Rattus norvegicus: one gene and its partner. The protein of the gene in region 2 purifies or fractionates together with the protein of the main gene of each other region. This does not show direct contact. Links are inferred from orthologs where the notes say so. Each region holds a gene or a part of one and is shown on either strand. Other genes may lie near its edges.

Region 1 (4,054 bases), about 210 Mb from region 2:
ACAGACTGAATAAATTCCTACTAAAATCTTACCAGTCTTTTTGCATAAAAAGAAAAGCTAGTCCTTAAATTCACATCAAATTAGCTCAAAGAATCTTTAAAAATAAGAGCAAAGTTCAACGTTGCCACATCCCAACACTACAGAACAATACTAAGATACTGTGGTATGGAATTATAAGATAAATACATCAATAAAATACAATTATGAATCACGAAAACAGATGGCTCAGCAGTTAAGAGCACTTACTGTTTCTTGCAGCGGTCCCTGGTTTGGGGGCGGGGAGCAGTCTCAGCACCCACACAACAGCTCACATCAACCTATACTGTCAGTTATATGAAATCTAATGCCCTCTTTTGGCCTCCATAGGCTGTTATATGTATGTGATATACATAAACTTATATAAGCACATTCACATAAAATACGTAAATAAATCTTTTCAACAAATGCATAAACATATTACATAGCCAAATGATCTTTGGGAAAGTGTATCAAGCCCATTCAATAGAAAAAGAGTATGTCTCAACACTGAGACAACCCGATTTAGACATGCAACCAAGTCAAGCCACACTTCACACAATATATAAAAATTAATCAAAGCAGATCAATGACCTAATTATCATAATCCAATCCTTAAAATGTTAGAAGCCAATAGAACGCAAATTCTTTAAGCATTGGAACACGTAACACCATTGGGACACATAACACCAATAGTATAGAGAACAAAGGAATATATAAATTTGACCTTATCAAAATGTAAAGAAAAAATTGACAACTTATAGAAATGGAGATTTTTGAAAATAAAGACTTAATTTTCAGACTACTTAATTCCTACACCTCAATGGAAAAAACAAAAATAAATAAGAAACAGGCTTGATAACTCATTCTTTATAAGAAAATGATCAATGAACACATGAAAAGGTATTCAGTCTTAGTCATTAGGAAAATGTAACTCAGACCTACAGCAAAGTAAAAATACATGTGGCTAAGGATGCAGTAAAGTTAGACCTTTAGTGAGTGCTAGTATAAGTGTAATATGATGTCACTCATGTGGATCTATAATTACTATACACCCCAGCAATTCTACTGCTAGATCTATATAAAACAAAAGAATACTAGGACTCAGACTTTCATACGCCAAAGTCAATAACAGAATTACAGTCAAAAGATGAACACGCATGTCTCTTTGCAGATGAATGGATAGAGAAAACACAGTATTGCAGTATTCAGAACAAAAGAATGAAGTTTGTCCACTATAAATGTAACACGGAAACATGTTGCTAAAGTCAAATGAACCAGACATAAAGGGAAAAATACTGTATTTAGTCCTGAATGAATGGAGAACTTCAGAGATCAACTTAAGGGTCATCAGAGACCAAAATGAAGAGCGAACAGGGAGCTCCTGCCTCAAAAGTACATAGTTTCTGTCCGGAATATGAAATATTTCCAGAAATACATAGTAAGGATGGCTTCCAACACTGTCAATAAAATTAGCTCTACTGAGTGTACACTTAAAAATAATTAAAGAGTATCTCTTGTTTCTTACAATTTTACTACAAAACATGTTTTGAGTAAAATAATCAAGTTCTGTATGAACCCAGTCAAAGCAGCAACAAAATGTCAGTAGCCCATTCTTAATACTGAGTCAGCATCACTGCCTTCCTACACAGGTGCCATTAGCACATTAACTCATGGGTGCTGTTATTTATTTTACTACCTTTATGGCAACTTTTACTCAAGCTACCTCCTGTCCAGAAAATCAAAAACACCACCCGCCCTTTAGCTGTTGTCATATAGTATTCCTTCCTGTGGGTTGCCTACTTCAAGAGGCACATCATTCCACGTAGAACCTGCGTAACATCCTGCACATGATCACTAAAGAATTGGCCAACCACATAGTAAGTAAATCTAAGAGAGGAGAGACATGGATCCTGTTTCATTCAGTTCCTTAAGTCTCTCAGGGCTGGCAATTATCTTTTTAACCTAAGATTCTGATAGTTAAAAGTAAATGTAGCACTTATGACCTCTGAATAGAAGCCTGCTTTCCCCACCAATGTGTAAGAGAACAATGAATCTGTTTCAAGGCCAAAGAATTTTCTATGTAACTGGCTAAACAGCATTTCTACTAAATGTGTTTCAGTTTATTCTGGCTTTAGATAACATGGCTGCCACTATTCTATTCTTCCTACCAGCTTTTATACTCTGCCTTTGTGGTGTGTAAAAGTTTAGTGATACCACACAGGAATATCAATGCATATCCCTCCCACAGCCTACTCAAAACAGACACTGCTCATTTTCTCACAATGCCATCTGCAGATCAGAGAGAGCCATTCTATCGTACCAATTTGGCTTTCTTTGAGACTCTACCACTGGCTGTGCTTAACTTCACCATTTCACTACATATCATCCTCTTCATGCTATCTGCTGACAGCCCCACAAACCAACTTAACTGTCCTTGAGAACGAACAGCCCAGCTTCTCAGATGTCCTTAAATCATGCTCCAATATCCATTTATTAGAAACAAGTACATAGCTTCTTAAAAGTATGCATTTTGGGGCCCTCCCACTGCAGATTCTAGGCTGAAATGAGTCTAAAAAACATAAAACTGCCCTTTATTTTCAACTTCTGAACTCCCAAATTCAAATCACTTTACTTCCTCTCAGCAATAAAGTGCCACTTGGCACTGTCATCTAAAACAAGTCACAATCGCATTCTCAGACCACAAGCGCTGGCCCTTCTCATCAGTTCGCATTCCCACACCTGTTCTTTAGTTATGGAGACCTCTGGCCACTTCCTCATCTTCTTTCCTTTATACAGTTCCTGATGTCATTTCCTTTCCTGACCAATCTAGAATCATCTGAAAGTTCTTCCCTAACAAAACCCCTGTTTTCATCTCTGTGTGGTTATATGAACCCCTACCTCTGCTGAATTTTGCAATGTGCCACTTCAGTTTCCATGCCTTAGCCACTTACTGGTCAGAGACATAGAGATACTATTACTACCTTCTCTAGCCCTCCATATTGTCACACTAAATCCTGTCATTTTGTATACTGAACAGTCTGGGAATTTCCTATGTACTATTATGTAACCAGCCTTAAATACACTGAAAGAAATGGATCATGGTCCTCCTAAACTCGAAGCCAAATTTTAGTTTTCCAGTCTATTCAATAAAGGCAAACTCCTTAGGAAAACAAAGGCTTTAGGTCTCTGAACTCTAAATAAAGAAGTCCCTCTTATTTATCCTTGGCAACCAGCCTTCCACATTAATACCAAAGTTACACCAAAGTACTCAATGCTCCAAAGAGCTCCTGATAAGTCTGTGTATCCTCCTACCTTTAAAAGTCTTCCTCTTTCACAGCTTATAAAATGCCCGATGATGTTTACTGCACTACACAGAAATAGTCACCCAAACTACTTCTCTTGTATTTTATGTATTTTTCTATTATAGAACTTAACATGAATATTGGCATTAATTTATGCCCTGACTTTTTTCACAGAACCATGAGAACACGACAGATGTTATATCTTCAAATGGTTAGTAAACTGCCAATTAATTTGTGTTGATTTCAACTGATTTGTTTAAATATTACAATACTTAAGTCACATAAAATACCTGAGTTTCCTCAAGAAGAAGGTACTTTTCTGGAAATTGCCAAATACATAAAGTTAGAGAATTCTTTAAAGAACCTATGATATAACTAAGCATTCCAGCCTCAGTTATAGAATCTGTCATCTATCTTTTAGCAAGCACAAAATTCACCTGGCTAATGACTACTTAAGGAGTGTCCAGAATGCAGATACAATTCCAAGAATAGATAACTAGATGGTAAGATTCTTGCCTGTAAAATTTGGTCACGTATTTCTTATAAAAAACTTTAGCAAATCATTGCTTAGAAGTAGGAAAGGTGCCCTTTTCCTCCCATTGAAATACAGAGAAAAACAAATACCAACTGTTCCCGCCTATCCACTTAACCATCTTGTCCATAAAAATTTTCTCTCTACAACTGATTTTACTTAACAAACAAACAAACAAACAAACAAAGTAAACAGAAGCAAA
Region 2 (3,500 bases):
AGGGCTTAGGCCCCCTTCAACTCCCACACTTCCATCTCTGTCAACAGAGCCAGGCAGTGGTCGTGCACTATCTTCCTGGCTCCCCTTGGCATTCTGTGTGGAGAACCAAGTATTCAAAGTTTAATGCATCCCTCAAGTTATCAGGTTTGTCTTGCCCTCCATGTTTCTCAAATATGTAATTAGTTCTGATCTAATTACTATCGAAATAAGTAATAATCTCTCACCTGTGACAAATGTAACACGATCTGTCTTTGTGAACTGGACATCCAGTGCCACCTCCAATCCCATACACATACTGATTGCTTTTGGAAGAGTTCTCAGCAAAATAGATCCCAGCTCCAAACATGCCCCCTATGTAGGCGTGCCTCTCATCAAAGCCCTTATGGATTATCGCATTCACAAAGGGAGACCCTGAAGACAGACAGGCAACACAGTCCACAAAACAGAACCAAGGCCCCAGACAAGTTAACGTTTCCAGCAATATTTGCTCTTTATTGACAAATCATCTCTGTAGATGCTAGCTTGCATCTTTAGAGCTAAGAATTCCTTAGGTTGGGATTAATGATTCCAATAGGGTAGTGGTTCATATGCCAACAGATAGACTCAATTAGAATAACAACACATTTTTTGAAATTCTAATGCAAAAGTTACTGCTTTCCAGTAACATACAAACTCTGGACCAAGGGCTCCCAGCTCATGGCATACAGTAAGGCTAAGACATCAGTCAGGTCTTGCAAGCATGCTTGACCTCTGTGCTTTCTCTAGATAACCAGAAGGGCCTGAGCAGCCTGCCATGCTCTCTTCTTTTCCTGGGCCACTTCTCCTCCATCATCTGCTACGGAACATTCCACAGGCACATGCTGCCCCCTCCTCTCCTTGCTCAGAGGCTTAGCCAAAACTGCACTGAGCATAAGCATATGAGACCCAGTGTTGGGTGTGTGTGGGGTTTTGCATAAGTGTGCCACTGTTTCAGAACTTACTTCTCTCTTCCCAGCATAGATTTTGGGGACAGAACTCAGGTCATTAGGTTCATGTGGCAAGGCTTTATAATGAGCCATTTTACTGGCCACCAACAGGGTAATCTTAATTTATAAAAATGTTCGTTTTAAGGAATATTAACACAAAAGTAACTGAGGATATGAACACGAATGTAAGTTACAGAAATGTTAGCTTTATTAAGAGGACACAAGCTACACTCTTAGAGCAGTGTAAAAACTTACCATGAAATAACATTCTTTCATTTGCATGGTTGTGGTTTTCTTCAGAAACTTCTTTTCTCCGGTGTGTATATCTTTCCCACAATTTCTTGTTACAAACCTTCTGAATCTATAAAAACCAGAAAAGTTAACACTACCTTTTATCTTACAAAAAAACAAAACAAAAAAAACCCCAAAACCCAAAACCAAAACCAAAACAAAAACCCAAAAAACCACAGACTAAAAGAAGAATCATCTCCCATAAGTTGTCCTTCGACCTCCACATATATGTGGTTGTGTACATGCAATTGTGTGTGTGTAGGAGTTCATATACATGCAACACTGTTTTTCAAAGAGAAAGAAAGACTACATGTGGCCAAGAAGGGGTCACGAATATTTGAAAGTTGCGTGAAATACTTCAACTTTAAATTACTTACAATAGGAAGCTAAATAAAAATCACCACTAAGTTGTTACTAAAATACTTGAGCCATACTAAGTTTTGTAGAAGCATGAGACCAGGCCCAGCATCCTGTTCTCCTGACTATCCAACTCAGAACACCGTGAACATGATTTGAAATGACCACCCACCACACATCACCCTGCTTTTTTCCTATTACTCTGTTTCCCTGCCAGTCCCCACTTTCATCTGGAGAAGATTTAAAGATGAAAGCTGGTCTCATTTGGAGAATCACTATGGTAAAAATGGACATTTCTAGCACTAAGTGCTACAGCCCCCTGGTGGTCCCTAAAGGAAGCATGAGAATTTCAGTTTTAGTATTAGCTCAAACAAACATAAAAACCCCACAAAATGACTCAAAATATGGATAACAGATGTAATCAAGAACCATAGCTGGTATAAACCAGCCTTATTTATGTATAAAATATAACAAAAGTAAAGCTATTCTAGCACACACAGAGAATCATTAAATACTGTACTGAAATGGATTCCTTTCATATTGAATGAGGACATTTAGAAATCAGCCTCTCCATTTCACGCTTAAGTGACTCCTCCTTGCCTAAAGAACCTCATGGTAGTAACAGAACCACAGCACACTAAGTAAGCTTTAGTTCATTAACCACATCTACTTCATTCATGGAATACTGATACTGTTCAATCTTTTTTTTTTTAAGATTTTATTTATTTTATATAAGTGAGTACCCTGTCACTCTCTTCAGACACACCAGAAGAGGGAATCTGTGTTGCAGATGGTTGTGAGCCACCATGTGGTTGCTGGGATTTGAACTCAGGACCTCTGGAAGAGCAGTCAGTGCTCTTAACCGCTGAGCCATCTCTCCAGCCCCCTGTTCAATCATTTTTATTTCTTCTTCTTTTTTTTTTTTTTTTTTTTTGAGATAGCTCTCTGTGTAGCCCTGGATGTCCTGGAACTTGCTCTGTAGACAAGGCCGTCTCCAAACCCGAGATCTGCCAGGATGTCCCCCACTGCTGTGAGCTACCATGTCTGACCTAAAATAGAAGAATCTTTACAGATGTCGGGCATGGTGGCCCACAGTCTGAGCCCCAGGACGAGAATGCCTGAGGCAAGAGACTCAAATTCCAGACTAGCCTAGGTAGACAGTGATATTCTGCCCCAAAAATGAACAGAGTTTTTGAGAAGTTAAAATTTGGAGGACAGTCTCCCCCTCTATAGTCCATGAAGCCATGTTAGAAAGCTATTGTATTAGACATCACTATGTTCTCCTCAACCTTTCTTAAGACTCCAGGCTGTGGAAATCAGTCTTGGTTTGGAAACCTCCTTCTGGTCATGTTACCTTGAGAATACTGTATCTGTTGAAGATGCCGCCTGCGTGACCTCCATCCCTGTGCTCTCGAACAGTACTTTGCATCTGATGGAAAGCCATTTAAAACATACACATTAGTTTTGTCTTTTCTTTTTTTTTTTTTGGTTCTTTTTTTTCGGAGCTGGGGACCGAACCCAGGGCCTTGCGCTTCCTAGGCAAGCGCTCTACCACTGAGCTAAATCCCCAACCCCTAGTTTTGTCTTTTCTGACTCATGTTTTGTTTTAAATTCATTTGATACTATTTCTGAGAATTCAAGATAAGTTTTAATATTTTTCTTGAAAGAACATAATTCTATAAATTTATGTGCTCTTTTTTCTTCTTTTGAGACAGGATTCTTCTGTGTAGCCCTGGCTGTCCTGAAACTTGCTCTGTAGACCAGGCTGACCCTGAAGTCATAGATCCATAAACTTGCCTCTTCCTCTTGAATATTGGGATTACCATGAGTATATCTAAAGATATTTATAGTTATATAGTTGAAAACATGTTTACAGCTGAAAAGTTA

The links. Proteins that work in one complex are often made in the same cells at the same time.
Region 1: the proteins of Tnks2 (region 2) and Rnf146 purify together in Homo sapiens (co-immunoprecipitation; 3 studies listed by BioGRID and IntAct, with this or other methods). This does not show direct contact. The link is inferred for Rattus norvegicus from reciprocal best matches to the Homo sapiens genes TNKS2 and RNF146.

Annotation. Positions count from the first base shown.
Region 1 is NC_086019.1:30,292,520-30,296,573, reverse strand, and holds the start of Rnf146 (E3 ubiquitin-protein ligase RNF146), read right to left. Parts: upstream 2,801-4,054; 5' UTR 2,758-2,800; intron 1-2,757. UniProt on the Homo sapiens protein: E3 ubiquitin-protein ligase that specifically binds poly-ADP-ribosylated (PARsylated) proteins and mediates their ubiquitination and subsequent degradation. May regulate many important biological processes, such as cell survival and DNA damage response.
Region 2 is NC_086019.1:244,025,746-244,029,245, reverse strand, and holds part of Tnks2 (poly [ADP-ribose] polymerase tankyrase-2), read right to left. Parts: intron 3,043-3,500; coding exon 2,968-3,042; intron 1,327-2,967; coding exon 1,221-1,326; intron 412-1,220; coding exon 225-411; intron 1-224. UniProt on the Homo sapiens protein: Poly-ADP-ribosyltransferase involved in various processes such as Wnt signaling pathway, telomere length and vesicle trafficking.